4 linked regions of the Nothobranchius furzeri genome follow. The protein of the gene in region 3 purifies or fractionates together with the protein of the main gene of each other region. This does not show direct contact. Links are inferred from orthologs where the notes say so. Each region holds a gene or a part of one and is shown on either strand. Other genes may lie near its edges.

Evidence for each region.
Region 1: the proteins of arhgef6 (region 3) and git1 purify together in Homo sapiens (affinity purification with mass spectrometry; 3 studies listed by BioGRID and IntAct, counting the BioPlex papers as one, with this or other methods). This does not show direct contact. The link is inferred for Nothobranchius furzeri from reciprocal best matches to the Homo sapiens genes ARHGEF6 and GIT1.
Region 2: the proteins of arhgef6 (region 3) and Na(+)/H(+) exchange regulatory cofactor NHE-RF2 purify together in Homo sapiens (affinity purification with mass spectrometry; 3 studies listed by BioGRID and IntAct, with this or other methods). This does not show direct contact. The link is inferred for Nothobranchius furzeri from reciprocal best matches to the Homo sapiens genes ARHGEF6 and NHERF2.
Region 4: the proteins of arhgef6 (region 3) and skp1 purify together in Homo sapiens (affinity purification with mass spectrometry; 3 studies listed by BioGRID and IntAct, with this or other methods). This does not show direct contact. The link is inferred for Nothobranchius furzeri from reciprocal best matches to the Homo sapiens genes ARHGEF6 and SKP1.

Annotation. Positions count from the first base shown.
Region 1 is NC_091753.1:16,483,292-16,491,548, forward strand, and holds the start of git1 (ARF GTPase-activating protein GIT1), read right to left. Parts: upstream 4,805-8,257; 5' UTR 4,551-4,804; coding exon 4,499-4,550; intron 1-4,498. UniProt on the Homo sapiens protein: GTPase-activating protein for ADP ribosylation factor family members, including ARF1.
Region 2 is NC_091752.1:53,772,141-53,780,285, forward strand, and holds the start of Na(+)/H(+) exchange regulatory cofactor NHE-RF2, read right to left. Parts: upstream 4,499-8,145; 5' UTR 4,076-4,498; coding exon 3,851-4,075; intron 1-3,850.
Region 3 is NC_091741.1:83,139,764-83,147,444, forward strand, and holds part of arhgef6 (rho guanine nucleotide exchange factor 6), read right to left. Parts: intron 5,617-7,681; coding exon 5,412-5,616; intron 5,234-5,411; coding exon 5,181-5,233; intron 4,918-5,180; coding exon 4,823-4,917; intron 1,575-4,822; coding exon 1,479-1,574; intron 1-1,478. UniProt on the Homo sapiens protein: Acts as a RAC1 guanine nucleotide exchange factor (GEF).
Region 4 is NC_091750.1:60,008,245-60,016,676, forward strand, and holds the start of skp1 (S-phase kinase-associated protein 1), read right to left. Parts: upstream 4,145-8,432; 5' UTR 4,000-4,144; intron 3,407-3,999; 5' UTR 3,404-3,406; coding exon 3,307-3,403; intron 3,156-3,306; coding exon 3,082-3,155; intron 1,338-3,081; coding exon 1,194-1,337; intron 1-1,193. Other genes in the region: ppp2cab (serine/threonine-protein phosphatase 2A catalytic subunit alpha isoform), read right to left, coding at 5,981-6,053, 6,138-6,256, 6,346-6,507, 6,593-6,682, 6,771-6,944, 7,027-7,236. UniProt on the Homo sapiens protein: Essential component of the SCF (SKP1-CUL1-F-box protein) ubiquitin ligase complex, which mediates the ubiquitination of proteins involved in cell cycle progression, signal transduction and transcription.

The sequences.
Region 1 (8,257 bases), on a different chromosome or scaffold from region 3:
CTTTCCCGAGGACCACACCGGTGAACTTATCGCCAAAGGACTGAGAGACGCTCTTGACTGCTGGAACCTGTCTGAGAATCGTCTATCCTGCATGACGACTGACAGCGGGACCAACATGATTAAAGCCCTGAAGGTGAACGGATGGCCAAACCTCCAGTGCTTTGGACACAAACTACACAACGCTATCGGTAAGTCTGACAATAAGTAAAATAAAATCTTACATTTCGACAGAGCACATCAAACCACAGCCAAGTTGGATGATGCTCGTCTTTAACTACTGTAGCAATAGAAATTGCAATGATAGTTTGTGTTCCGCCCGGAGGTTTTTGAGTGTGACACTGCAGGAGCGGCAGGTAAACATAAATGCTACCAGTTTGACACTGGAAAGTTGAATAAAGATTTCCTGTTGAGAGGGTAAAGTTCAAAGTTCAGTTTGGAATTGATTGTCATTAAATTGAAATAGTTTTGTATTATGAAAATGGATTAATTTGGTTTAAAAATGTATTTTATTCTACTGCAAACTGAGCCTCCAAACGCTCACTTTCACCCCCCTCCCCTCAGGTTCAGTTTAGCTTATTTAAATTTGCTTCTGAAACTGAAAATTGTATTTCAACCTGGAGTAATTCAAATTCAGTTCCTAATGGCACAGAATTCTGCTCATATTAATCATGTGTCCTGTTGAATACTCTTTCTTCTAAATTTATTAATAGTATTTGTGCTTATTTATCACTGTGCTGCTGCAAAGTTCTGCCCATGGATTAAAACATAAAAATAATATACACCAAACATATATTCAGTGTAACGACTGCAGGTGTTACTATGTTCATACATAAGTAGACATACAGAAGAAATCATTTTTAGGTGGATGTAGTTGTTTATTCAAGTCCCCAATAGCGATGCATGTCTTTGTGTTTTATTCTTTATCATACAGAGAATGGTGTTAAGGATACCCGCATAGACCGAGCCATTGGAGTTTGCAAGAAGATAGTTGCTGCTTTTTCCTACAGTTGGAAGAAAAGAAGAGAGCTGGGTTTGGCTCAGTCAGAGCTGAGCCTTCCCCCTCATCAGCTTATAGTAGAATCTCCAACCAGGTGGGGCTCCCGCCAAAAGATGATCGAGCGATTACTGGAACAGGAGAAGGCTATTGCCCGTGTCCTGGGGTCTGAAGTTAAAAGCCGCCATCTCTTGCCCTCTTGGCAAGACATCGAGGTTTTGGAGTGAGTAAACAAGGCGGTTAAAGCACTCCAAGATTTTACAGATGCTTTATCAGGGGAAATGTATGTTAGTGTCTCATACATCAAGCCTGTTATCCATCTGTTCAAAACAAGTCTTTTGCAGCCTGAGGACAACGACACAGAGCTTACCAAAACAATCAAAAGCAACATACTGGGATACCTTGTTAACAAATACAGTGATCCTGTCAAAGATGAACTCCTGGACATGGCCTCTCTGATGGATCCAAGATTCCGGACATCCTACATCGACCCAGACAAGGTGGAGCAAATCAAAAGAAGAGCTGTCAGTGAACTTCTGTCTTTCCCCACTGACAAAAGCACACCACAGCCTGGTCCAGTTGTGCAGGTGGACCAAGAGGCAAGGCCTCAGCCAAATCCCAAGAGGAAAAAGACCTTAGCAACTTTCTTCAAGAAGAGTGTGCCAACCCCTGGCCCTGACCAGTCGGAAGAGGCTAAAATAGAGACTGAACTTGCAACTTATATGCTCATCCCAGAGGTAGATCCTGACACTGATCCACTGCAATGGTGGAAGAGCAACAAATCAAACTTCTCGAGGCTCAGTCACCTGGCCAAGAAATACCTCAGTCTCCCTGCAACAAGTGCCCCATCTGAGAGGCTATTCAGTGCGGCAGGATGAGTTGTCAAATGCAGCCGAGCTTGCCTCAAGCCAGAGGCAGTGGACAGGCTGATTTTCCTTGCCAAAAATATATAAATGTTATTGACCCAAACTTAAGCACAGATCTCATGTTCAGCAGCTCAATCAAAATGTGATTTTTCTCTCCTGTTTCTACATTCAGGGACACAAATCGTTTGTTAAAGTTATTTTTTTAACAAAAGTTGGCACTTTTCAGTTGGAGTTGAATATTGTTTATTTTGCAATTTTTGTACTCTTAATTTTTGTTTAAATTAGTATTTTACCCAAGAAAGAAGTTTTGCACTTATGTTTTTATTTAAAATTATATGCAAAGTAAATCTTTTACCGTAAATGCAAGTTAAAGACAGATAATTTTTTTTCTCTGTTTTTGGATTGAAAAGTATGATGCATTTATCCCTGTTAGTTGTCGCACTGTTTGGGTTGGTTTAGTTTTACCTGTATTTGAATGTATTGTTAATGTTTGAGAAAATGGTGTTACTCTAATGGGAATGTTTGTCACATTTCACTCTAGACAACAGAGTATGACTCAAAACACACCTGGCACTTTGATTCCAAGAGGGTTTTCAGTTATTCGCCATTCATCCCTGAAGAGCATTACACGTTTTGCTTTTGATTAAATAAAAGCAAAAGTAGCTTCAAGTGGTCTGCTGTTTGTACTTGTTGGTGTCCTTTTCTTGGGGGGGGGGGGGGGGGGGGGTGTAATCGGAAAAAATCGGAAATCGAATTAAAGAAAATAAAATCGGAGATTTTATTTTTTGGGCGTATCACCCTGCCCTAAAAGAAAGTAAATCTGTGTTTTGTGATCAGCTTAATTTGACATGAACACGACAAACACGCTTTCTTGACAATCTTTGTGAGTAAAAAAACGTGTAGAAATAAAAGCGAACAGCGTGTTATTAGGGAAATAGCGAGCAAGCGGCGTTGATGCAGGATTGCGCATGCGCCGTGAGCGGTTCTGATACTTTTTGGGTTGCAGCTGCTCGCAGCTCCGCTTCAACAGTGCCATACCCTCACGAGGGACGAGCAAAATTTTAAACACGCCAGAAGTCCGTGCGACCTCACGACTGCTGATCGGCAGCTGGTCACGTGGTGTTAGGCCCTGTCCACACGTAGCCGGGGATCTGCCAAAACGTAGATATTTTTCTGCGTTTTGGCCTGTCATCCACACGAAAACGGAGCTTTTTCACACGAAAACTGATCTTTTTAAAAACTCCGGCCAAAGTGAAGATCTGCGTTTTCTCCGTTGTGGGTGTCTGCGTGTGGACGGACAAAACCGGAGTTTTAAGGTCCGCAACGTCACTTTCCGCGACAAAAAATGCTGACATCACGTGTGCGACCTGTGTTTACACTAGCCGACAGCATGGATGCCCTCAGAGCTGCGCTCTGTCACTACCCGATCCATCAATTGTCCAAGCGCTTTTTACTTGTTTGTTTTTGCAAGCAGAATTACACCTCCTTGCAGAAGACCACAGACGAAGGACGAGGTTAAGAACGGGGGAAGTACTGCCGCCTACAGGTCTGGCATGTCCTTAACAAAGTATTTATCCGGGTACGTGTGGACAGAGTTTGTTTTTAAAATGCAGTGGTGTGGATGCGAGTTTTTGGAGGGGAGGATATTCGATTTTAAAAAACCCCGGCTACGTGTGGACTAGGCCTTAATCGCCTCTCGTAACCCCCTGTACACTACACGACGCTCGGCGCAAAACTCGCCCCGATGTCGTGGATTCTCGCACGAGTGGAAAATCGGCTCAAAAAAGTGACAAAGTCGCACAGTGTACGCCCGGCTTAACAGGAAGGGGTGGGGAACTCCAAAGTTTCGAGGCACAGATACAAAAAGCCCTCAAACATGCCTTAGGGATGGTGAGGAGGAGTTTATCTGCAGACCTAAGAGCACCAGAGGGGTGGTAGAAATGGAGGAGTTCACTTAGATAGGGAGGGACCTGACTTCAAACATTTGATTGCAAGCAGTAGGACTTTGCAGTTAATCCTGATCAGAACGGGAGTGATGTGCTGTCTTCTGTCAGCTCCAGTCAGAAACCTGCTGCTGGTCTGGAAAGAGAAGCTTTGCTGATGCCACATAAACAGGAGTTGGAGTGATCAGACCTTCTGATGCAACAGGGACCAGTTAGGCTGAAGAACCGTAATGATGCTCCTAAAAGTGACAAAACCTCATCCGGATGACGCTGACTCATGATAACCAAACCACTCGGGGGTCAGAGTTGTTTTACTGGTCCCCTTGCCTAAGGGACACTGCTGCGACACTCATGCAAACTTTTATCACGTCTCAATTTTCACGACACGACTTTAATCTCAAACTCCGGATCAGCTTGGCTGGAGTGGCTAGCAGCTTAAGCTAAGCTAACAACAAAGGCAAACTCTATTAGCCACCACCAGTAACCTGCTACAGATGTGTGTTATCGTCCTTATAAACAGGTACAGGGCTTTTAACCGCGGTGTAGCGGCGTTCAGCTATTTTTCACGGTTTGTCTGGGGCCTAGTTGACGACACTCCCGGCCGTTTCCTGCTCTGAAAGCCCACAGTGGCAGCATCCCCGGCCCCGTTAGCCCTCCCCTGGCATTGTTCCGTTTTTATTTACCCCGCTGCCTACCTGGAGCACTGCAATCAGCGCACACTTCTGTCCTTTGAAGCTTTCTTGACATATCGGAAGTGGCCGCAACAGTCAGCTGAAGTCTGCGCCGATGTGAAAACCAGAGACGGATGTCTGCCCTCCAGCCGCTGCGGTCCTATAGTCTCCGGAAGCCGGGTGTCGTGGTCAGCTTTCCCAGCCGGTTGATTGCTGGATCTCCCCCCACCCCACAGCCCAGCCTGGCTCAGAGAGAACTGGTTCTTCCGAACATCGTTAATCCTTAATATAGGGAACGCTGTGTGTTGTTTTATTGCCTGTATTTATGAATTTGTGCTTTTATTGTGAAAAGATTAAACAGGAAGTAAGAAACCTTGACCTCAGGGAGCCCAGCGCTATGAGGGAGCATAACTCTTCTGTTTTGGTGTATTTGAAACATGAGCCGAAGCTTCGGCTGCAAACAGATCGTTCGTAGTTCGGTGCGCACTGCGCAGCAAAAAGCTCAGGTGAAACGCAGCTCCGGTGTGAGTCGTTTATTCCGCTCCTGGAACCTACGGGACACACACGTTAACGTCACAGGGAGACTGCAGCTCTACCGTTGGCTGGAGGATGTGTTCAGAGTGCCTCTGTGCGGTGTTCAGAGACGAGAAAATACGTCGTTTTTACGGTGCTCTGAAAACTTCACGAAGACGACGTTCTGAAGGGATTTTCAACTGGTTTTTCGGCGTTGGAAGTTTAAAAACGGAGATTTGAACGCCGTTTTACAACAAAACCTGCTCAAAAGTGAACGGATTTCGATCCAATCGGATTGCCATACACGAATGCACGAGCACCTGCAGCTGTTTGTTCATAAACCAAACAAACTCGCGGTGCTGAGGCGGAGAAACGGATTAGCTTAGCAGGAAGTCAACTCCGCACGAACATGCTTGTGAGCGGAAACGGCCCGGTGAGTCGTATTAGTATCTCTTTAGAGTAAAAAGTTGCATCAGATTAGCTTTACTTAAATTTCCTTTTTACTTCTGAAACTTTCAAAATAAGTGTCTAAAATTTCATTTTAAATAAATACATAATTCCACTTTACGGTAATGCAGAAGCGGGGTTAGGAGGTGGCCACTTGGGCTCAAGCCCCGGATGTTTTCTGAAAAGCCCCAAACCTAAATTAGACTTTTGAAGGGGAAAAAAAAAATCACTGTGTGTTTTTCAATATTAAGGCACCAAGTCATTGCCTTGCTAGGCCTGGCGCCTTTCTTTTGAGGACACTGTTCTTCCTTGGTCAAAGAAAACGATTAAAATGGAACAGACTTACTCCACAGGAGGTGAAGTTATATTTTTGTATAACAAGCCTTTTACTTTTTAAATTGTGTATATACAGGGGCACAGATAGGATTTTCAAACTGGGGGGGGGGGGGGATGTTCCAATATACCCTCCCCCAAACACATGCGCGCGCGCACACACACACACACACTATTGCAAGCACCTTAACTAGAGCTCAGTTTGTGTAATTTCCTCCAATGGTTTACGTAAAAACTATTGTATACGCGTCTGAAGCCATTATGCAGTGGAACGCTGGCAACACAGCTCTGCCTGATCAACACTATAAATGATAAATGATCCGCACTTGTATAGCGCCTCTCAGAGTAAGGACTCCAAAGTGCTTTACACTACAGTGTATCATTCATCCATTCACACACTGATGGTGATGAGCTATGATGTAGCCACAGCTGCCCTGGGGCACACTGACAGAGGCGCTCCACTATTTAATTCAGTCATTTGTTATTCTTCCAATTACTAACCAAAACCTCATGCTTTATGCAAAACATTAAATGATTTTCAGCATACCAATCTTTACAGAAAACATGAAAGCCCTAAAAAACTGCACATAAAATACATTTAAAAAACAATATTCACTTATCACTTAGAGCAGTGGTTCCCAAACTTTTCAGCCTGACCAACAGATGTTCCTTCGTATTTTTACGTTATTTAGATATTTTCATTATGTGTGGAAAGTTTTTATTTATATATACATATTTAAATCTCTCTTAAAATTGTATATTTTAATTTTTTTATGATTATGTGGCACACTTGACTTCCATACAAAACACATCGGCATCTGCCTCTTTTTTACGGCTTTTTTTTTTACGTTGTCGCTACATCTGTCACGTTAGCGGTGTTTTACCATCGTTTATACATCCATCACGTCCCAGAGAAGGTTAAACCAACATCAGACCCAACGTTTGGAGCTTGTAAACTCAACACACCTCTCGTGCAGCACCAGCTGTCTGATGCTGCAGCATCCCGGCTGGATGAGTGAATTTCTTCATCAGAGTCAATATTCTATTCTCTCCTCCTTGAAACGTCACCTTATCGTGGTGGAGGAGTTTGAGTGCCCTAATGATCCTAGGAGCTATGTTGTCTGGGGCACTTAGTGCCCCTGGTAGGGTCTCCCATGACAAATTGGACTTAGGTGAAGGGTGAGACAAAGAACGGTTCGAAGGATCTTTCATGGCGGTTAAAACGAAGAGTCGGAGTACCCGGCCCGGAGGGTTACCGGGGTCCCACCCTGGAGCCAGGCCTGGGGTTGGGGCCCGTGAGCGAGCGCCTGGTGGCCGGGCTTTCGCCCATGGGGCCCGGCCGGGCCCAGCCCGAACCGGATACATGGGCTCGTCCAACTGTGGACCCACCACCCGCAGGAGGAACATGAAGGGTCCGGTGCAATGCGAATCGGGTGGCAGACCAAGGCGGGAGCCTTGGCGGTCCAATCCCCGGACAAGAAAACTAGTCTTTGGGACATGGAACGTCACCTCGCTGGCGGGGAAGGAGCCGGAGCTTGTGGCAGAGGTTGAGCGGTACCGGCTAGATATAGTCGGACTCACCTCGACACATTGCATTGGCTCTGGAACCCGAGACCTGGAGAGGGGTTGGACACTCTACTTTGCTGGAGTTGCTCCGGGTGAGAGGCGGAGGGCTGGGGTTGGCTTTTTGTTAGCCCCGAGACTCTCTGCCTGTGTGTTGGGGTTTACCCCGGGGGACAAGAGGGTAGCTTCCTTGCGCCTTCGGGTCGGGGAACGGGTCCTGACTGTTGTTTGTGCTTATGGGCCAAATATCAGTTCAGAGTACCCACCCTTTTTGGAGTCCCTGGGACGAGTGCTAGATAGTGCTCCATCAGGGGACTCCATTGTCCTGCTGGGGGACTTCAATGCTCACGTGGGCAATGACAGCTTGACCTGGAGGGGTGTGATTGGGAGGAACGGCCCACCTAATCTGAACTCGAGCGGTGTTTTGTTATTGGACTTCTGTGCAAGCCGCAGTTTGGCCATAACGAACACCATGTTCGAACATAAGGATGCCCACCGGTACACTTGGTACCAGGGCAGCCTAGGTCACAGGTCGATGATAGATTTTGTAGTCGTATCATCTGACCTGCTGTTCTAAAATAAAATGTTTTATTTTATTTTAATTACCTTAAAAGACTCAAAGTCTCTTTTTTACACTTTATATTTATTTAATCAGGATCGTTGTCAAGTCGACGCCAGAAACAATGAAACACAACTTGAATATCAGATGAACAACAAGGCTTTATTCAACCGGCATTCATACAAGTTATCAATCATGAACGAAACATTTCTCTTACCGTTGCTTATGGGTGGAGAGCTGAACACCCCAGTTAGAAAACGTAATCCATGATAGGTGAAGAACTGAACACATGTAATCCATGAACCTCGTCAGGTAGAATCCAACAAGCAGCTCTAACAGCTCTGAGCTCTGCTCTGCTCCTTATACAT
Region 2 (8,145 bases), on a different chromosome or scaffold from region 3:
GTGACAGGCGTGGTCTTTTAGCCCCATTGACTTGCATTCATCTTTTCGCTTATCCGGGGACCCATGAGTCGACCGGAAAGGGAGGAGACTTGCCATGGAACCTTGCCCTAATGTCTTGTCCCGCCCTGGTTGCCTAGGAGATACTTCATCAGGAACTGCCAAAACGTGTTCCAATGTTCATGGCGTGTGTTATCCGTTTGTTAGCCGTTTAGCTAGCTGAGCAAGGATACACGGGAGGTGTCTTGTAGCCTTGCCTCAGTCAAAAATTTCCCTGAACACACCTCTGTATTTTGAAAAGGATGGCAGATCAGAAGCAGGCAGCTACTTCGGGGGCAAGTTTCATGTTTAAATGTAAGTCAACTAATTTAAAATGTTTTTTTTTTTAGATCCAAAGAAGCCGCGGTCACGTGATGCAAGTCTGTTCAATTTAACCGTTTTCTTTTGACCAATGAAGGACAGTGTCCTCGTAAGCAAGGCGCCTGGCCTCGCAAGACATCGCCACGCAAGGCCAGGCGCCTTGACATTGAGAAACACGCTTAGACTTCCTACAGAAAGTGCACTATCTTGGACCGGATACATAGCAGGAAATTCCAGAACAGCGCTACGCCCTCTGCTGTCCTGGTGGGGAATCACTTTGCAACACTCCCCAGGCAGCGGAGAAGTCTGAGAGCAAAACGTCTCTGTTAGTGCGTGCGTGTCTCTCCCCTGTGGAGCTGACGGAGAAGCATAAACTAGGCTTAAGTGAAGATCATAGAGTATCCCTCAATGGTTCACGTGACAGTATTTGTTAAGCTCTCATTCACTTGTTAATTCAACACATTACCAGCTAAGTGGCCTAATGGTATGAGTGTCCACCCTCGGACTGGGAGATCGGGGTTCAAATCCCAGTCAGGTCATACCAAAGACTTTGAAAAAATGGGACCCAATGCTTGACACTCAGCATTAAGGTGTTGGATTGGGGGATTAAACCACCAAATAGTTCCCGAATATGGCTGTGTCTGCAGCTCACCACTCCCCCTGTGTGACAACTATTGGGACCTTGACTTTGACATCTGCAGTGGTCTTTACTATTTCTGTGAGAGAAAAGCTCTGGCGCTCCTGTTTCAGGTAGTAGAAATTACCCGGAGGAGTAGAGGCCAGATAACGGAAGGATTTGGAGTCTTACTCGTCGTTAGTATTCATGATATTTGGACATCTCACCTGTGATTAGCTAACAGCAACATGACTCTAACACTGACACTGATCTGTCATCTCCACAAATAACACAAGACTCACGGAGTTCTGCCATGTTGTGGATTTGCTAATGCTAATGGTTAACTTCTACTAGCTGGGACACGGTCTGCTCTCTCCTGGACGCTAAACCAACAAGAACTTCCCCGTCATGAGGACCTGACCATGATCTGAGCGTTTCCCTGTCTGTTATCTAATTTCACATTCAGCCTGCTTGTGAAAGTCAGAGTGACCGACCGTAATTTAAAAAGAACAATCTAAAACGGTTTCTCAGTGAACTTGCTCTTTAACTTTTATACATGTTAATAACATATGAAACTATGTTATTGTCAGTATTATATGTTCTGTCAGGGAGACCCAGCCTGCATTGTGCATTATGTAGAAAAAATGAAGTTAAAAATGAAATTCTGGGGTAAAATTTGGTGCAACCATTTTCAACAACTCTGGAGCGTTTTGCTAGCCATTGCCACATTACAATTGTAGCGCTGCAGTATTACTCGCAGGAGACACGGCAACCCCACACTCACTGATGGTAAACAGTAGTCCCTCCTTCCTTTGTTTTGAGAGGAGAAAAACTGACAATCCCAGCATCCAGCTAATATATTTCACTATAACCTTCCTTCTAAAATGACAGAAACATTAAACTCTTTTGGGATTTTCTCACTGTAAAATTCTCACTATATTCTTACATGCTGCACCTTTAACAATGTAAGAACTAGATTATGGTTGTTGTTTTAAATGTCCCAGCTGTCAGGCCCTTGTTTAAGTATGAGGTGACAAAACAAACCTGCAACATGATCAAACTTCAGCTCTTTATGGTGCTTTTAGGGCTCAAATCCAGCAGGAGTCAGACAGTTCCAGCTGACGTAACCACTAACAGTGATGTAAAGGTTTCTAAATAAACGTTCACATTAGCTGTTGTTGTGAGATTTGGGAGATTAAAGGTGTTTTAAGTTGGCAGTGAAACGTTTTGGTTTAAATAGTCCCAGCCATTAGCTCATGAATCTGGGAGGATTTAAAATAATAGACTAAAGATGTTCATGGGTATAGCAACAACAGGCTAAAACACAACAGTTTAGACGAAAAAATAATTAAGAGAGGAGCTAGATTGTCTGGTGATCAGAAACTCGGAATTCTGATTTTTTTATATTGATCTGTAAGCGGCGTCAACAATAAAACATCTGACATTTTTCCTGGTCTGTGAACTCACCAGACAACTGCTCATCGATGTTAGTAACTGATGTTACATGTGCAAGGTTTTAGCTCCGGAATGAACGCTTTAAAGTGACAGTGTGTATTTTTTCTGGCCATAGGGGGCAGTAGATACCTAAATCGTTGTAAGAAAGCTGTATTTTTGTGTTGGAATAAGACCTTACCAACGGAAGCCCATTAGGGTCTAAAAGCCCTGGGGAGTGCAAACTTTAGCAAAATAAGCACATCAGACTCTCTTTCATCACTGGCAACAATTGAAGAGGTAAACGTGTAAAACAACATATTTAACAATGACAAAAGTTTTGTAACGGTTTGTTACAAATCAGTAGATGCATTTTGTCCTCATGGGCACCCGTAGAAGGAAACATAGCATCTAATATGGCGTCGCCCAGAGACTTAGACCCGCTCCCATTTATTTTAGACCAGATTTTTATGGTTAGATGTTACGACGCTGCCAATATTGTTCAACAACTGGGCTTCATTTCATTCATTTTCAACTACATTTTGATGGATGTTTCCAGAAATTAATGGTAAAACTACACATTGTCTCTTTAATGTTAGTTAGATGAATCTGAATGGGCCAAACCAGCATCAGCAAGTCTGAGCTGTTACAAGAGTCAGAAATCGGTTTCGGCACTCTAAAACAAAATCAGTGTCCCAAATTCCAACAAAAAACAAACGTGCATAAACTCATGTTGAGTATATGCTTGTGGAGAAAAATTATATCAAACCAATCAAAGGTTTGTCCAATCATATGCCAAAATTTAGTGGATTAAATAGTTGACCCCCACGCCCCACCCCCCTCTCTCTCTCATCTGTTACTGTTTCCCACCATCAGACCACCATAGTTGTGAGAAAACACAACATTTGAGGTCAGGCCTCAATGACAGTTAGTGGATGAGAGGAATGAAGTCGAAAACTGAATCAGATTTTTAACTCAACTGAATTTAAAATGAATTACACAGATAAATGCAAATCTATAAGAACCATTACCCATCAGAAGAGTGATGAAACAAAAGTAAAAACCTCCTGCTGCTCTGTGACCTGACAGATAAGACAGTTTAACTTGGTTTGGGGCAGAGATATTTGATAGTTGCAGATCATTTTGGGCTCAGACAGAACAAAGTCTGCAGCTGAAGCGTCTGAGTGTTTATCAGCCTCAACAATATGCCAATATGCTGAAAGTCTGTAAATTCAATGCGACAGATTAGATTAGTGTGGCGGGGGCGGGTTTTGCGCACTTTGTGTGTGTGTGTGTGTGTGTGTGTGTGTGTGTGTGTGTGTGTGTGTGTGTGTGTGTGTGTGTGTGTGTGTGTGTGTGTGTGTGTGTGTGACCTGTTGATGCACCCTCGCAGGCAGACATGTAACTCGACTCTAATCATAAATATGAAAGCACACATCCACTCGCCTGGTGGTGTGTCTCCTTCTCCACGTTGACGCCGTTCACGGCGACCACCCGGTCCCCGGCGCGCAGCCCCGACGCCTCTGCGGGGGAGTTGGGCTCCACTTGGCGGATGAACTGTCCGCTCTTCCCCTTCTCTCCGTGCAGGTGAAAGCCATACCCGTTCTCCCCTTTATTCATCACACACAGCCGCGGTTTCCGCTCGTTGGCCATTTGCTCTTCTTCTCGCATCGAACCTTCCTGCAGACCCGAGTAGAGTAAAAATGCGGTGAAAATGCGCGAAAAGAAGAGGTGGGAGTTCAGGACAACGGGTGCGGGGCTAAACTTCCAGCGTGCATCCCGACTGGCCTCGTGCGCGCCCTCACATCACAAACACAACTCCAGATCCAACAACGGAAAAGTTTAAATTCCCTAAAAGCTACGAACTCCAGTCAACTGGACCGTGTGTCCGGCTCTGAGGCACGCTGCTCCAAAACGGACCCAAACCACCGGGGGCTCCAGAACCTTCGGACCGGTGCGCTCTGCAGACTGTAAAAGTGAAAATGGTTACTGGTCAAACTCCCTGCGTTTATCCAAAACATTCGTCCGGAGAGCACATCCTTCTGCAGCTTCAGCGCCGATCTTTGCGCACGATGAGCGGCTGGTGAGCAACAGCACCACCTTCCTCTGGAAGAGAAACAAATAGAAAGTGTAAGTGATGCACTGATGCCCCCCGGCGGCAGGAAACAGTCAGTGATCAGGGTTAGTTATGATAAATGATCAACTTTTAAATAAATTTAAAAAAAAAGTTCTTTAAAATATTTCCTGTCTATTTCATTGTTGGTGCCTAATATCAGGCAATGTGGTGACTTTTAACTTCAAAATGATACATCTCACAATAACGGGAAACGTATATTGGCTCGATTAGGGTACAGTTATGGTAACATCTCAGATTTATAACTTTTAATCACATTTGCAACCTTTTGTCTTAGAAATCTGACTTTTAAAGTCATAAATATAATTTTTAATAACTGTCAAGGTTGTAATTATGGTGTTATTTTTAGTCATAGTTATGACTTTGATCTTGTAATTATGATTTCCAAAGTTACAATAATTACTAAACTTCATATTTACAAGTTTGAAAGCAGGAAAGATGATTTTGAAATCACCAAAATGATCCTTCAGATCTTTTAAATTGGAACTCTGAAAAATATTAAGAACAATCTACATCAGTGGTTCGTCCTCCACTGCCTCGACTCGACTGCTTCAGTGGTGGTGCTGCTGATGGCTCGTGTCTCATGCTTATCCTCTACGCCAAGGCAACTCAGTGATCAAGCAGGGATCTAACCCCTGCATCCAGCTTCCACTGGGAAGCACCTCACTCTCACTCTCCAACCAGTCCACTCCATACTTGGAGAGCTTTCTCCAGGGCTCTTCCCGGGGAATTGTTAAGTCCAACAGCAAAACTTGCTTACTGGCCTCAGACACAAGAACAGCGTCTGGTCTGAGGGAGGTGACAGCAGTATGACTGGGGAACTTCGGCTGATCCATCAAGATCTCCCAGTATCTGGCAGAGATCTTTTGACTGGAGCTGCTTACTCCCCAGCTCTGGTGAAGGTTGTAGTTTGGTTAGAATGGCAGGCAGGTAAACAGAGAATAGTAAAATTTGATTGTGTCTAGGCAAATAAGTTACTGATTAGTTCCAGGAGGGTAAATTAAAAGTGGGTTTCTATTGTATTAAAACAACTCAGATCTCATCATTGTTCTAGCAGTTCATCTAAAGGCTTTTAAACACCATTTGAACTTTGAAACTGCAGAAATTTTTACTTTACATGAAAATTCAGATGAAAATATAAAATCCTCATCAGTACAGATAAACATTCTCCATTCACACCTGTGGTCTGTGTTTCTCCAAACTGAGGGCAATCAAAGAGCTTTTTACTTCAGATAAGATATTAATTATTTATAACAAAGAATGCTGTTTGATTTAGTGTTAAAATTATTTCTTTAAAAGTCAGAATTTTATTTTTGTTTTCTTAAAGAGACAATGTGTAGCTTTTACCATTAATCTCTAGAAATACAAAATGTTGTTGAAAATCAATAAAATGAAGCCCAGTTGTTGAAAAATATTGGCACCTTTGTAAACTATAACCAAAAAAATCGTGTCTAAAATACATGGGAGCGAGTCTAAGGGTGTTTCTCAATGCCAAGGAACCTTGCCTTGATGTCTTGGCCCCGCCCCGGTTGCCTAGGAGATACATCATCAAGAGCCGTGTTCCAATGTTCATGTTCTACCGAGGTGTGTGTTCTACGTTTGTTTGCCGTTTAGCTAGCTGAGCAAGGATACGCGGGAGGTGTCTTGTAGCCTAGCCTTGGTCAAAAATTACCCACAATACACCGCGGCATTTTCAAAACGATGGCGTATCAGAAGTCGGCAGCTACTTTGGGGACAATTTTCAAGTTTAAAAGTACGTCAGCTAATTTAAAATGTTTTTTTTAGATCCAAAGAAGTTATCTGTGGTTGGTTAGTTGCTTAGTTGCAGTTCGGTGGCTAGCGGGTAGTATCTCACTTATATTTTTTATTTAACAAATGAATACACAATTTAAAAAGTAAAAGGCTCGTTATATATTTATGTTGAAACTAATACGTATAAAATATAACTTTATCTCCAGTGTCACGTGACGTTACATGACCGCCGTGGAAGCCGCGGTCATGTGATGCAAGTCTGTTCCATTTATCCGTTTTCTTTGACCAAGGAAGGACAGTGTCCTCGTAAGCAAGGCGCCTGGCCTCGCAAGACATCGCCTCACAAGACCAGGTGTCTTGACATTGAGAAACACCCTAAGTCTCTGGGCGACGCCATATTAGATGACACGTTTCCTTTTATGGGAGCCCATGAGAACAAAATGCATTTACTGATTTGTAACAAAATGGCGCAAAACTTTCATCATTCTTAATTGTTGTTTTGAACATTTACCTCTTCACTTCACATAAATGCTTAAAAATCCCACCATAGTGCAGCCGTGGCTCTCTGGTCTTTGGATACTGGATGTTTGGCTTGACAATGGAATCACCAATTATAGATACAGATTACTGTTTAAGTGCTCACATTTCACAACAGTACACCAATTATTATGCCTTCTCCAAGTCAGGGATGAGGTCCTGCCCCAAATGGAGGAGTTTAATTATCTTGGGGTCTTGTTCACGAGTGAGGGAAAGCTGGAGCGTGAGATCGACAGGCGGGTTGGTGCTGCATCTGCAGTGATGCGGGTGTTGTACCGGTCTGTCGTGGTGAAGAGAGAGCTGAGTCAGAAGGCGAAGCTCTCGATTTACCGGTCGATCTACGTTCCTACCCTCACCTATGGTCATGAGCTTTGGGTAGTGACCGAAAGAATGAGATCGCAGATACAAGCGGACAAAATGAGTTTTCTCTGCAGGGTGTCTGGGCTCTTCCTTAGAGATAGGGAGGGGCTTGGAGTAGACCTGCTGCTCCTCCACATCGAGAGAAGCCAGTTGAGGTGGGTTGGGCATCTGGTTGGGATGCCTCCTTGGTGAGGTTTTCCGTGCACGTCCAACCGGGCTCAAAGGGGGCCTCGCCCGGGGAGTAATACCATGCAGAACCGCCACTGCCTCCATGTCATCACTCAGATCCTCCTCCCTGCAGAAAAGAGGAACTTTCAACATCTGCTGTTGCATTTTTTTTAAATAAAAATCAAAGACCTATGATTAATTAATCAAAACTTACTTGAAACAAATCTCCTGTTTTGCTGTAGCAGAGTGAACATCTGCTAAGGTTACGGCTGCATAATGAATTACATTCTTTGCAGACAACCTTATCAGTTATCTAAACAGAAGGTTTGATCAGTTTCTTAACCCACACAGAGACCAACCGCTGATGAATAATTACTCCTTTTATTAAACATAGGAGTAAAACTGCAAAGAACATTTTTTAGTTTAATCTTTTTCATCTGACATTAATTCCATCACAACCGAAAGAATTCTAGTTTAAATGTGTGAACCTGCACTGTTAAACTTTGTTTTGGGCATAAAGTAATTAACTGTTGAGGCTGAATAAAAGTGGTTGGGTCCTAAAATTTTAAAATAACAGGAAAAAAATGAATGAAAAGTGGAAAAATGCTAATTTGTACATTGCCCGTGTTGATTGTTCAGCCATTACCCTGGATTATTTAGACTTCTGTTATTATTTTAGATGTAAGACTTCTTAAAATGAAGCTAAGCCCCTTAGTAGTAATAATAATAATAATTTCAAAAGATAGAAGAACAAAGCTAGCAGCTACACCCTTGTACTGTCAAATCGATT
Region 3 (7,681 bases):
TTTACTGTGCTGGTAGCTAACATACAGGCTAGCAGTTAGCTTTTAATGTTCACCAATGGTCAATAAAAATCACATGTAGAAGAAATGGAAGAATTTTTTTTTTTTTTGTTGGCATCATGGCAAAGTCTAGAAGCAAAAGAGAGCAATGTCTTATGAGATGAAGCAAAGAGCTAAAACCAGAGTGAACATCGGCACGGCCTACACTTATTAGGGAGCTGAAGGAGGCTACAAAATCACAGCATGATGGTGACTTGGCTTTTTTGCCACTGAACTAATATTTGTTGTCCAACTAATTGAGCTTTTTACTTCATGATATATTCTCATATCAGTTGGCTCATGTTAGCATTAGCACATTGAAGACAAAGAACTCTTTCCTTTAATAAATCAGAAGAACTCTATTTTTAATAAAGCTAATCAAACAAAGTGTTAGTCCAATAATAAATGTGAACCAATCTGTGAAATGACAATGTTATGATCAGTAGTATGTTAATAAGTAATATAACTTTAAACTAGCTGCACTAGACATTCTCATCCACGTAATGCTTAAAGTCACATGACACATTTCCTTTTTCAGATCCAATCAGAACCTTCCAGATCTGACGCGAGGCGTGGTTTTGTCGGTGCTTGGTAAATCCCCTCTTGTTGTCCCTTTTTTGATTCGACCGTAAATCAAAACATCCAAATTATAAAACTATGCCCACGTCATCTTAAATTCATTTAAGCATTCTAGAGAAGTTGTCAGAATGGCCAATCCGTAACTTTTCTCTTAAAGCCGAAAGAACCTAACGACAAGCTGGATTAAATCTCTTGCATGTTCCACCTGCTGCAACGGTTCCTTTCGGAATAAAAGCTGAACCATCGACCCCTTTTTGGGTCTCGCTAGATACCAAAAAACTGTCGTGACCTGGGAGTATCTCAAGACAGGACTGGTCGGCAGCCGCTGCTGTGCTACAGGCTTCGGCTCCAGAAAGGTCCAAGCTGGACCTCTACACCTCCTAATCTAGACGGGGACTTCCGCTGGGTATGTAGACCGACAGAATGGCGTCTCAATGTGTGTTATAATCTCCAGACCAAAGCTTAGAGCGAAACATCATCTTCACTCCCATCAGAACTAGTCATTTCTCCAGATTTGCTGGTTCTGAACAACACTCTACACACCATCCATCTTGCCTCATTCACACCGAGATCCATCCATCACACAGAGTGTTGAGTGTTTAAAGTTAGTCTAGTTTTAATTTGTTTAGAAATAAATCTTTAAACTTTTAAACCTGACTCTCTTTCTTTTGTCTCTGAGTTAATACGAAGTGGTTACATAATCCCTGCAATAAAAAGTTCCAATCTTCTGGTTTAAGTAATCCAAAGGTCCATAAAATTGATTTCATATTTCCTATGGAATCTCACATTTTATGGTTCATTAAATAATATGTAAATGTAATCGTTACAATTCATTAGGTTGATCTTCGACTTTCACAACTTACTTGGTACATTCTTCCAGAGCTAAACACAGGCCCTGTTGGAAGGTGAGGATCTCCTCCAGGTTTCCACACAAGGTGCTGCTGTCTGCACTGCTTAATCTAAACATACAAGATGCAATCATCAGAAAAGAAAAGTATGAACTACTTAAAATATATTCAACCATGTGATGCATACAGTCATGGTCAAAAGGCAGTTGATCCTTTCCCATTCTCAGATCTTACAGATCACAGTCCTTCAGATCAAAGCAACCTCTGATGAACACCATCATTTTTGTAGCTTTATGTCTACAAAAATGATGGTAAAACCACTTTCAGCAGGTTGTCACATCTCTGAAGATTAACGGTCAAAGTTATTTAATTATTACAACACAGCTTCAGCTCACTGGGGTTTCTGTAGTTCCATGGCAGGAATCTGTGAGCCTGGGGCCCAGGTTTAACTCAGCCATTGCAGTACAGCATTGTTTTTTCTTTACAAAAAGGGTGTGTATTGGCTAGAATCTGGCATTACGATATATATCAGGGGAGACAATACGATATATTGTGATACTAAAAGCCAGATGATATTTACAATTTTAAGACGTAATATAATTGGAAAACGCCACCAAGGCACACTCGATGTTATTGAAAGATCTTGTTTCGCCAGAACGAACGCAGTAAAACTGCTTCCACCTAGCAGTCAGAGTTTGAAGTGCACCACACAAATATTGTGCATATAAATTCAATATGCTATAATGAATATAAATTCATCAATATGCTGATGCTGATTTCATGACCAAATTTCAACCCAGCTTTTACTGCAGATGCAAACATTAGAATGTCACAGAGGAGTTTATAATTGACAAAATGTCTGCAAGGGTCTGATGCCTTTAAGTTTAAGTTCTAATCATTAACTCTCCACCGCCATGCTTCATTGACACGTGTATGCTGAGAGGTTAATTTTATTTTTAGTCATAATCTGATCAGATGCAACTATGCATGTTTATAAGCTGTGCCACTTTGTTGCTTTAAAGGTGCATTATGTAGAAATGAAGTAAAAATGACATCCTGTGGTAAAATCAGGTTACTGCAACTACTTTAAATTACTCTGGAGCTTTTTGCTGGCCATCGCAAATGACAATTGCCAGTGCTGCAGTATTAGCTCGCAGGAGACACGGCAACCCCACACTCACTGATGGTAAACAGTAGTTACGTCCCTCCTTCCTTTGTTTTGAAAGGAGAAAAACTGACAATCCCCACAGCTGGATATGAAATATGTTTCAGTATAACCTTCCTTACAAAATTACTGAAACATCAGACTCTTTTGAGATTTTCTCACTGTAAAATTCTCACTATACTCTTACATACTGCATCTTTGTGAGAGGAGTGATGCTTTTTTTCCAGTCAAAACTTCCCAACAGCTTAAACTAACCATGTTACTCCATGGGGCCATTTGCAGCACTCAGATTCATTTAGCACATTTTATGCATTTCTGTTGAGGAACTTTGTTTCTCCAGTAGGATGGTGCTGTAGATTCACACAGTTCAACATTTTGATGTGTATTGTTACTAGGGGTGTAACGGTACGCTAAAATCGTATTTGGTTTGGTCCCGTGTTTTAAAGAGTTTGGTTCAATTCATTTTTGGTATATTATATTTATTTATTTAATATCTGAAGCAGCTCCTATAGTGACCAGAACCAGGTGTCATCACAGGCTGCTGATCTTGCATGATGTTTTTAATTATTTCACAGGTTATTTATGCAGCTATGAGTGTCACCACAGACAGACAAGTGTGTTTGACTGTTGATGCTCCTGTCTTTATTTCTGCAGCGAGCCTTAAAAACTCGCCTCACACCGCCCAGAGTTTCTTCTTTAAAACTTGTTTTAAATAACGAGCTTCCTTCGTGCCGTATTTGTTGTTGTAGGATGAAACCTTCAGCAGATGTGTTTGCTTACATTTTAGCCACTGTGTGCCTGCAGTGTGAGAGAAGGCAGGAGCGACACAACGCTCCGTTCAGCATCTCTACAGGCTCCACAGCAGCAGCGACAGCCAGCTGGTTTGATCCGCTCTGAAAGGTGTTGTTCAGAATTTGCAGATCACATTTTTTAAATGGAGATCGGGCACATACAGCCATCATGCGTCACTCAATACAGCGTCAGTGCGGAAACTCGCCTAGGAACCTTTATCTGCTGCACTTAAATCACGCAAATAAAAATTCATTATTTAGCGGAAAAAATAAACCGAAACAGTTCGCACGTGGACCAAATCAAACAGGCCGAACCAAAACGGTTCAACACCTCCCGTGAACCGTTACACCCCTAATTGTTACTCATTGACAAAGTCAAATACGTTTTTTGTTACATGAAGACTTTGGATGATTTTTGCCCTTGCTTTGAAAGGTTTGGACACTCTGGATTTAAACCTTAATTTACCCACCACAAACTTTAACTTTTAACATACTAACGCCTGTAGAGTTGCTTTGTGTGTGACCCCACTGACACTAACACTGAAAGAACTTGCTGTGGTTGAACTGAGATTAAACATAAATGTGTAACACCAGAAAATTATTAGGTTATACTATGATGAGAAACCACTTTATTCATGTAAATACTGAGTTTAAAGCAGATGTACATAACAAAATATTTACGATGACCGTAGTAGATTAATTAAATGCTTTTTAAAAAATGAATTTGAGTGATCCACCCAGCTTTAGGACTGGATTTAAACACACATCAAATATTGCTTCGCTACAACTTGGTCATTTGTCAGTGACTCTGCATTGAAACCAATTGAGCAAAAACACAATCAAGGTTTTAGATAGGAAACCACCCTTTTACAACATCTATAAAGTTTAAATTTTTTTTTTTTGTACTTTCGAAATTTTAATTTAAAAATTCTTGCCTCATTTACAAATCTCTCACAGGCCAAGCCCCAGCACCTTTAACAGATATTTTTAAATGGCAAAGACCCATCTGAGAGACTAGGTCAGTGATTAGAGGGGATGGCAAGATTAATTTCAGGAAAACCCTGTTTGCACAGAATACGCTCACTCAGGGGATGCAGTGAGTTGACAGAAGAGACAGCTCCTCTTTCAATTCCTTTAAAAGCAAATTAAAGTCTCTGTAGTATTTCTTTCTTGATTTAGTGTAATTTGCTTATTTTGCTAATGTTTTAACCATGCTTTGTATTCCATCATGTTTCATCTATAAGGTAATGTGTGAGTGCCTATGGGACTACGGATGGAAACTAGCTCTTAGCTAACTCTGGCATATTTACATTTTATGTACGTTCAGCATCAATATACTTTGTTCCATTCAAATAAACAAATCAGATTTAAATAAATAAAACATCTTCAGCTTCTAATCTTACTTGTCGCTGGCTTGCAGAGGTCGCAGGTAACAACTCAACACTGTTTGCAGTTCTTTAACAAACTCCCGCTCATGCTCCAGGATGTCTTGTACCACCTGGAGTAAAGCAACACAACAAAGAAAATACAAAATAGCATAAAAAAGGATGTCCTGAATGTAGGGTAGAAAAATAAGACAAACAATAACCGTCTGTCTTTGAAATGTATTTTCCTTTTTTAAAAGACTTACAATCATACAATGTCACTAGTATGGTTTTAATATTTTGCATTATTTATTTTACCAGAGATTGAACTGCTGAAGGCCATAAAGTCAACAATTGCCATGAAGTTAAGGTATTTTATCCGTACGGTATAACGTACCACGTTGTAGTAGTTCTTGGTCAGCTGAGTTGCTTTAGGAGACAAAGACTTTTCTGGAAATCAAACACATGATCAGAAGAATTTCAAAAAACTGATTCAAAACTAACGTAGGATCCATTTTAACAGTAAGATAAAGTAGTTTTAATTATATTTAATGTAATCATCATTTTAGGACCTCTGCCACCATGAGATTGAGTTATCATACGACCCAGACAGGACACTCCAACTCACCACAGGGTTTGATCTCTCGGACGTAGTTACTGGGAAACCAGCCTGTCCTGCCATTGAGCGTGCCCTCCCACCATCCTCCCTCCTCCTGCCGCGTCACCAGGATCATGTCACCTTTACCGAACGACAGCTCATCCTCGTTGTTCTGCTTGAAGTTGAATCGAGCCTTCACCACCAGCTGCCCACCACCCCCATTCTCAGACATTTCCTGTAACGGGAGTCATCCGCGTCAACCAGTAAAACAAATACAAATCATATGTTGGATTAATTTTTCTGTGTGAAATCCCGCTTTAGATGAGTGGTTTCCAATCTGGGGTCCATGATCCCCGAGGAGGTCCCCACAAGGTTGCAGGGGGGTCCCAACAATTATGTCTGTGTTGAGGTAGCAAAGTTACCACGATTGTATTTGTAAAAACTACATGTATAAAATCCCAAAAACCCACGCAAATGTTTAATAGTTCAGTTCATTTGTGATTGTAATATTTTTTAAGAAAACAAGTGCTTTTTAAGTAAAATAAGGTTGTATTTGGTGATATTTAATGTTTTTAGCATGCTTTATAAAAAATACTCAAGATAGGCCAGATGTTTGCATGCAGGTAAAGTGGATGTCATTCTTTTTCATAATGAGTAGGTAAACGTCTCTTAAAAGAATAAAATTAAATGTGGGCAACAGTGGCTCAGTCTGTCGCTGTTGTCGTGTCCTTGGGCAAGACACTTGCCTGCTGATGGTGGTCGGAAGGACCGGTGGCGCCTGTGTACAGCACACTCGCCTCTGTCAGTGCGTCTCGGGGCAGCTGTGGCTACATCGTAGCTCATCACCACCAACGTGTGAATGACTGATTGTGTTGTAAAGTGCCTTGGGGGGGTTCCAGGACTCAAGAAGGTGCTATATCAAGTACAGGTTAAATACAGACCATTTCCCATTTAGCCATGAAGCTGTAAAGCCTGTATAGAGGCGATTAGATGATTTTAACACGATAACGGGGTCTAGAAAGGTCCAAATAACAATAATAAAAAGGGCATTTTCAGATGCCTTTCCTTGTAAGTTATAAACACATTATTTTAGGCTCTGTTTCTGATCAGCCTCTGTTTACAAAAATGTCCTAAAGGATTGATTTGCTAAAGGCTAGTCAGCCAGGACCACAGTGTATTGCTGCTGTCTGAAAACTGTTGCAATCTTGAAATTTCTATGGCAATTTGTGAGCTTGAACAGTCGCTCCTCCTTGAACCGTAACCTTATCGTGGTGGAGGAGTTTGAGTGCCCTAATGATCGAAGGAGCTATGTTGTCTGGGGCACTTTGTGCCTCTGGTAGGGTCTCCCATGACAAATTGGTCTTAGGTGAAGGGTGAGACAAAAACGGTTCAGAGGATCTTTCATGGATGTAAATTCAAAGAGTCGGAGTACCCGGCCCGGAGGGTTACCGGGGTCCCACCCTGGAGCCAGGCCTGGGGTTGGGGCCTGTGAGTGAGCGCCTGGTGGCCGGGCTTTCGCCCATGGGGCCCGGCCGGGTCCGGCCCGAACCGGATACATGGGCTCATCCAACTGTGGACCCACCACCCGCAGGAGGAACCTGAAGGGTCCAGTGCAATGTGGATCGAGTGGCAGACCAAGGCGGGAGCCTTGGCGGTCCAATTCCTGGACAAGGGAAACTGGTTTTTGGGACATGGAACGTCATCTCGCTGGTGGGAAAGGAGCAGGAGCTTGTGGCAGAGGTTACGCGGTACCGGCTAGATATAGTCGGACTCACCTCGACACATAGCATTGGTTCTGGAACCCAAGTCCTTGAGAGGGGTTGGACACTCTCCTTTGCTGGAGTTGCTCTGGGTGAGAGGCGGAGGGCTGGGGTTGGCTTTTTGTTAGCCCCAAGACTCTCTGCTTGTGTGTTGGGGTTTACCCCGGGGGACGAGAGAGTAGCTTCCCTGCGCCTTCGGGTCGGGGAATGGGTCCTGACTGTTGTTTGTGCTTATGGGCCAAATATCAGTTCAGAGTACCCACCCTGGCAGCAGCGGAATGGTGGAAAGAATAATTTGAGGAGCTCCTCAATCCCACCTACGCGCATTCCGAGGAGGAACCAGAGCCGGGAGACCTGGGGATGGACTGTCCAATCTCGGGGTTAGAAGTTGCTGAGGTAGTCAAACAACTACACAGCGGCGGAGCCCCGGGGGTGGATGAGATTCGTCCTGGGTATCTCAAGGCTATGGATGTTGTAGGGCTGTCATGGTTGACACATCTCTGCAACATTGCGTGGTCATCAGGGGCAGTTGCTGTGGAG
Region 4 (8,432 bases), on a different chromosome or scaffold from region 3:
TTTATGATGCAGTCCGATATAATCCAATAGTGTTTTTGGGCCGATAATGAATTGCTTCTGATATCGGAATGGGACATCCCTAGACAGAATACTAGTGATGCACCGATATCATATATCGGCGATATGAAATTTTTTGTGCCGATACCGATATTGGTCGATATCGATATACTGGCATTAATGCTTCTAAAATCAGCAGATTTTGTATAGAATGAAAATTATAAATTATTAAAGCTGGATTTACATTATTATGTACACACACCACACACATTTATGGTTCTGAAATGATTTCATTCACTGTTCACAAGACTAAATTACACATCACCCTCTGAAACAGGCAAACAAATGGGGACAAGATGGAAAAATATCGGTTGTTAATATTGGCCTGGTTTTCTTTATTGAACAGATATGTTAAAAAATAGCTAACATCAGCCGATACCGTTATATTGTCCATCCCTACAGAATACCCAATTACACAAAACTTGACAAAAAAAATTTTTTTTAAAATAATCATCAAACGAGGACGTTTGAAGTAACGGGTGTAAATAAAGATCTGGATCGGAGTTAAGAGAAAACAAGCACTTATATCGTTTGAAGAACATATTCATGGGGCTTTGGGACATTCTGACGTGTTTCTGTGTAACACATCAGTTTTTATCTTACTTCTTGTAGACAGCTTCCTGAAGAGCCTCAGTTTGAAGAAAGTGTTTACGTTTTAACTAATGATGTGCTAAAGCTAATCCAAACACAAGTGGATCGCTAACGTCTCCAAGCTCCTCTTATAAACTACATTTCAAATCAGTTCACATGAATAATTATAGCTGTACAATACAAAATAAGTTGCCTTTTTAAACACTTATTTTATTTATAGTAATGTTTACAGTGAGCGCATTTTAGGCTGAGTGTTATGGAGAGCTGCGGCGAAGAGGTCGGCTGCCAATCAGAATTTGTAGCAGAACTATAAACTATGTGTAATATTTGCAAAAACAACAACTTTTCTGGTTTTGCCTGACCCAAACTTCTAATAATGACCTAAAAACAGAGAGGACATTTTTTCCAGTTGATTCAACCTCAAGAGTTAAGAATTCTGCTGAGGGGTGAAAATCTGTTTAAGGGGTGCGGGAAAAGCATCAATTTCAATGTAGCTAACGCATTTAGCAGCAAAATAAGAATAATGTTTAATGAAACATATTTACCAGAATGAGTTCAAACAAGGTGCCTTGGTCCACTTTGAGGAACTCCTGGTCCCAGACGGGAATGTCGTCCGTCCTTTTCTCTTTGTTCTCATCATCCTCGGGAGGAGGAGGATCATCTTTGTGATGAGTGCACCACTGAATCACCTAAAGGGGAAAACATGTTTATTCTTAACTGAAACTACATAATTTTATACATTCGTGTTAAGATTTACGCAGACAGAAACATGTGCACAACATTCCCCCGTGATGAAGGAATTTTGAGATCTTCTGCTGAGGTGCATCTACACGTACAGTTTTACCTTTATCTGGATTAAAGGAGCGTGTCAGTTGATTTGGCAGGACAGAACATAACAAAGACAGACTGAGCATCCTCTTAATAAGTTATATAGGGCTGCCATGATTAGTCGACTCGTCACAACATCAACAAACAAAATACTCGACTACTAATTTAATAGTGGATGCATTATTTATTCTGTGACCATTAATTTTAATCTCGCCTGCTGCGGCACATTCGGCGGTTGCTTCCTGACTTTCTGCTCAATGCACATGCGCATTAGTCCCCATCCGGGTCAGTGGCTGTTTTCAGCTCCGAGGCGCATTCGCAGTAGTGGCCATCCAGATCAGCCTTCGTCACCGGAGAAAGAAGACATAGCGAGTCGGCAACATAGCTCAAAAGTTTTGGAGTATTATACATAGACTAAGGAAAGCACATAGTGCAAACTCTGCAAAGGGAAACTCTCCTTTCACGGGAGCACATCGGCGATGCATGAGCACCTTACAAGGAAGCACGTCATGGCAGAGAATAAAGAGTCGCCTCTCTAAGTTTACCTCTTTAGCTGCTAGCATCAACAGAGAGTTACTTGTAGTTATAGGTGTAGCAACAGCAGTAGCGGTGGCTATTTTTATTACCATTAGATCACGTTTGTATGTCACGTATTTTTGCTCCAATTACAAACGATAATGATTTCATCCCGCTACGCTACAGTGTTAATAAAAATGCTCCTCTTCAATGGACGAGTTGGTTACGTGAACACCTCAGCAAGCTAACGTCCTGACCATGTTGGTCATGAGACTCCTGTCCATGGTCGGTGATCGAGGTTTCAAAAAGATGATCAAGGATACCACGACAACTACCTACCAGGCTGATGCCCATTCACCAGCATGATGGAAAAGAAATACGAAACAACCTTTAAGGTGTGCGCGCGTGTTCAAGTCTTAGTCTCTTTCTCTCTGGACACAAATAATTATTGGAATTTAATGTGTTTTATGATCAAATAAAAAGGTTGCTGACTGAGCAATCAGGAACCTAATATTGGTGCATAATACAGTTTACATGTGTTGAATTTTAATCTACTTTGTTTTATAACAGAATTATTAATTTGGTAAATAAACTAAATTTAATATCTTTACAATAAAGCAGACCCTCAAAGCTGTCGATGATCCCCTGACTGCTGACGGGTGTACCAGCCATGCTACAGAGGCGCACCTTGATGTGCCCTGCTATTTCCTGAGTTAAGATTAGAATACATTTTGCGAACACAAGTAATTTTTTGTAGACAATTTATTTTTGGTTTTAGGTGCCTACCTCCATTTGACTGTAGCATTTGTATTAATAAGTTATGAAGTTAATTAAAAGTTTATTATTAGATGGCACATAACGGATTAAACTTCAAACTAGAAGCTAATGATGGGTATATTAGAGCAGCCTGGTGCAATAACCTATAGTTTTTTTTTTGAATGACACGATTAGTCAACTATTGCGGTATACCCAACTGTCACGGTGAAATCCAGAAATCAAATAAAAACCAATCACTTTTCTCCCATCGACTGATGTGAAACAAATCTGATGACTCTGCTGTTGTCATTGTGACAGCTGTGCGTTCTGTACCTTCTTCAGGATAGCCGCGTTCACATTAGGAAGGGGAACTGGGTCATCATCTCCTTCATCGTCCATTCCCAAGTCTGACCACACACACAAAAAAAAAAAACGTTAAAATTCAGCCTCAACCCAAACGATCTTTACTGTTAATTAAAAAAACTGATAACTCTTTTTACGTCAGTTATAAACTCACAAAATCAAGTTTGAACGTTTGAAATGAACAGAACATTTTACCTTCCAACATGGTCTTGATGGTGACGGATTGTTTGGCTATCTCAACGTCTACCTCGAAAATTTCCCCATCAGAACTCTGTAGTTTTATCGTGGGCATTTTCTGGAATGAACAATAATATTCATTCAGTGCATTTACTGCTAATTTTGCGACAATAGCAGACGTAATCCGCGACGAATTGTCTCAATTACCAAACTAAGCTAGCAAACAACAAGCTAACGAAAAGCTAACATACAATTAGCTCTTTGTATAAACAAAAGCTATTGATTTGATAAATAATACCTATCATAAGACTTGCCAGATGCACTTGTGTGTTCATACTGAATAAATACCACCTGTTGTAAATCTAATTTATTTGAGAAGCGCTAATGCCCAAGCTAACGATGACACAAGCTACAAGACGGAAATGCTAAAGTTAGCTAGTTTCCGTGTGCTTAAAAGAAAAATACATTGAAAGATGTTCGCTATTACAAATAATGGTAAACAAATACATGTTAATCACAGGCGAGACAATCAATTGTGTCTAAAATGTATGTCACAAAGCTTAAATCTTGACTCTTCGTTTCGCCAGCTCTTTGCTGTCAGCTAGGCCTCTTTGCTACATCATCGAGGCGTTTCAAATTGACGCATAAACCTGACGTGAAAATCTATTTAAACCTAACTTTATCAGGTCACCAGAACATGAAGCTACATACCGTGATTATTTAACAAAAACTCAAAGGTTATATATCCTTAGGAGTCCGTTGGAAGGCCTAGACTTTAAGTGACGAACAGCGGCTAAAAGCCTCTGGATCAACCTTTTCCGCTGTATGGCAATCCGTTGTAACATATAATCATGTTAATGCCCTACAATTTTTTTATTTGTTCTAAACAAAACAGCATTTTCATTAATTACATTTAAAATGTCTGTACAAGTTAAACCGTGATATTATTTAATTCTTGCAGAATACATTATAAAGTAAGGTGATCAAAACGTGCCAAACATAAGCTATTAAACGTAAATACGTATATGTCGATGGTAAATACCAGTTGTCTTGTCCCACAGTGTATATTTAGTAAGGTAGATACTTAACAACACTTAAAAGCAAGCAAGTGCCGATTTCCTTTAAACAACCCCAGTACAATTCCGATTTTATATGATAAATTGGCTTCCCTTAACAACATGTGCTAATGAAGGGAGCACAGCAGGGCCGAGCTCAAATCGTGGCGGTGGCTACCAGTCAGCATCGCTTCTTGTTTACCTAGCTCAGATTTTATTTTGATTGTCTCATCTCGAACCACTTTGATTTTAAATCAGAATTTGTGTTATAAAAAGACAAATACTTTGTCTACATGGAACAAATAAGCTCTTTTGTGATAACAGTGACTTGTCTTGTGCTATTCTATTTTTTTTAATAAAAATAAAATGATCACTTTCTATGTGTATCTTTCATTATAAATCTCTCTGTCAGTGTACCAATAACAATTTAAAGTACATGACTCCTTTTGACAACAGACTACACAAATCATTCATTTATTGTATATGGCATGGTGGTGCGGTAAGAAAAATTTATGTCATATATCAAATACAAAATAATATTTAAAAATATTAAATTTAAATATATTTATTTTTGAAAATGTGTAAGTCTAATTTATTAGTTACACTTTGTGAAGAGATAACAGGAAGCACTAGGGTCAGTGCCTGCGATTGTCTATGTGTGGTGTCGTGCCTATTCACAACCACAGGGTGGCGTATTTCCCCTTTTTTCCGGCAGATGCGACTTGTTTCCAGCAGGATCCAGGCTGGCTTAGATTGCTCTGGAAAAACTTAATAAAATTGCATTTATGCGCCTTTTATTTGAAATAACACAATTCTCAACATTAAGTTTGCTTGTTTTGGGCAATTGATACTTCTGTTCTCAATACAATCTAATATTATGGAGCACAATAATTTAAATTCACATTTAAATAAATGTATTTTTTATGTCTTCGCCTTGCTGTGTCAGTGTAATTACAACTGGCCAGAGAAATCCAAATATAACTAGACTTTTTACAAGAATGAAGAATAACCAAAAACACAATTCAAGAAGTCATCTTTATTATTCTAGTAGGTTATTATAGAGTCTGAAGCTAAAAGGAAGCAGGTGAGTTGATGAACACTCCATCTTTTCTATAAACCAAGCCATCTGACTGCATGAGAAGGGATTTTCCTAAAACATACACAGGTCAAAAAAAACTGAAGGTTTACATGCAATTTAAAAATAAACAACAAAAAAACTATCAATATCGTGAAATCGTATTAATCTTTTTGACATATTTAACATTTCTTTAACTGTACAAAAGTGCAAACAAATCACATTCAAATCTCAAAAACCATGGTCTGCAGTAGCAAATTAGTCTTGGACTTTGGTGCCGTCAACCCAGCTCCATATGTACAGGAGGAGGAGCCGAGACATCCAGGATGTTCTATTTTGTCATTTCAGATACAATAAATATTTAAGTGATCATGGCACACACCTTTTGGTCCGTTTATAGACACATTTGCTTTTGCGAAATGCTTTAACTAGATTGGATAAACACAACGTGCAACACTGCAGCCTCTCAGGCCTCCATCACGTTGTTTTCAGTTCAAAGTCAGATAGGTTGGTGGTTCTGGACAGGACCGGACCGGACCGTGCGCGGGTCGAGACTGCAGGTTTACAAGAAGTAGTCTGGGGTGCGGCGAGTTACATGGGGCTCTCCTCTGCGAGGCGCTGGATCAAACTGCAAGCTGAGGAGGAACATCAGGAAGAAAAAAAATCACAACTTATTCTAAGATTTCTTTGTCCACTCGTGATGAAATTCGCCTGCTTACAAAGAGTATTTGAGGGTGTCGTCTAGCTCCATGATGGCTGCCTGGTTTCCACAGCGATAGCAGTAGTTAGGAGCACTAAAAATGGTCACCACGTTCCTCTCATGGCACCAGTTGTAGCCCTGAGGTAAGCAGATGTAATATTAACACGCATCTGAACTTAGCGGCACTGCTTCTTTGTTTTTAATCATCTTTGGACACAAAGACAAACCTCCATGACCAGCTGATGGGCGCGGGACACCAGCGTGAGGCGGTTGGCGTGGTTGAACGTTTCAGAGATGTCCTGACCAAATGTGTAGCCAGCTCCTCGGGGAGAGATGCCCCAGCCGCCGCGGTCGTCGGGGTCTGACCACAGCAGGTCGCACATGGGACCCTGCGTGACAACGAGAATGGTCACAAACGTTTTTATCTTTATTGTTTCGTTGCTGATCTGCACCACATTTAACGTCTTTCTTTACCTCGTGCGGCACTTCCTGTAAACGATCCAGAGCTCTGATGTGATCCAGCGTGTCTATAGACGGTGATAAGCCCCCGTGGAGGCAGAAAATCTGAGGAAAAAAAATCGATAATTATAACAAATTATGATGCTTTTCAAAGAAACGTCAAGTTCGGTCTTTTTTATTACGCTCCTCTCACCTGAGAGTCTACCAGCGCAGTGAGGGGGAGGTAATCGAACAAGTCTGTGAAGTATTTCCAAACGTTTGCGTTTCCGTATTTCCTTAAGCACTCGTCGTAGAAGCCGTAGACTTGTGTGATCTGTCTGCTCTCGTGGTTCCCTCTGAGGATCGTGATGCGCTCCCGGAAGCGAACCTGAAACACAAACATCTGTTTACGTCGCGTTTTTCACCCCAAAGAGGAAAAAAAAACTGTTTTAAATGTCTGACAAAGTCACCTTAAGAGCTACAAGTAATGTGACGGTTTCTACAGAGTAGTACCCTCGGTCCACATAGTCCCCCATGAACAGGTAGTTTGTGTCCGGCGATTTCCCACCGATCTTGAACAGCTCCATGAGGTCGTGGAACTGGCCGTGCACGTCGCCACACACGGTCACTGGACATCTCACCTCCTGGACGTTGGACTCTTTGGTCAGGATCTCCTTTGCCTGCAGAAGGAAAGTTGATTAGAGAATTAAAACTTGCACAAGCCAGGCAAAGGCCACCATTTTCTTTTTGTCTTCATTCAGGCACAGCCCACTTCCTGCTAGCGCTTACAACGGCCTCCATCACGTCTCATCAGGATGCTGCACACGGAGCGGGGCTGATAGCATTTTGATGCAGCGACTAGCTTCCTGTGGGGCGACCCTGTGGTGCCCGGACGGGCAGCTCTGGCTGCACGGCAACGTTTCTAAAAATCCATAAATGTGATCCTCCGAAGATTAAAAGGCAAGTGCAGAATAAATTTTAGTGGATTTGCATAAAAGTTTTGGTTCACTTTGATGTTAATTCACATCGGATCAGACAAATTAGATTAACGTGTTAAATTCAGAAAAATAAATGTGATTCTGGATTATTAAAGCATTTTATTTTTACCCATAAATCATCAGAGGGGCCTGACTGGCTGCTGCAGAGCATGACTCAGCATGTGGCCTACAGCCAGAGCCAGAGGAAGTCACCATTAAAATAAGACAGGATTTACCACCAGTTGGCTTGATTGGTAACCTCCAGCTGTGACTGCTTTTATGTTTCCGATTGTTTTACCTTCATGGTAAATCACCCGGAATTTGGCCGTTTGCTGAGTATTTTTGTGAGCTGTGTGACCGTGGATCCCTTCACAAACCAGAGAACGAGTGTGTTCCTTGGCTGGTGGCCAGCTGATGGGATAGAAACCCAGACGGGCCAGGATGGCGCTGCAGCGTTGCACAACGTTGACCTACATTGCATCCAAACTCCACGTGTCCCGACCGGCGTGCGGCAGGAGGCTTCGGGGGCCACACTGAGCCACAAATCTCTAAAGCAAACAGAGGCACTAAGCCAGAGAAGAATATTCTAGGTGTCTGGATGAAAGTGGAACACAAACACACAGGACCCATCTTTGAATGGATGAGGCGACAGGAGATAAAGTGGATCTGTCTGGGTTCCTCATCCTAGTCAAACCGTAGACATATCTACGTCTACGAGTTCACGTCGGTGTCATGGCTCATGATGCCGTCAGCACGAAATGGAACATTAGAAAGGGATCTTTGACGCTGCCGTAGTCATGAAGACGAGCTTTAATTAAGTCCAACGTATCAGGTTCTGAGCCAAACTCGTCCATCAACACCTGCTGGAAACCCTCGGGTCGTTTCAGCTTACGGAGAAA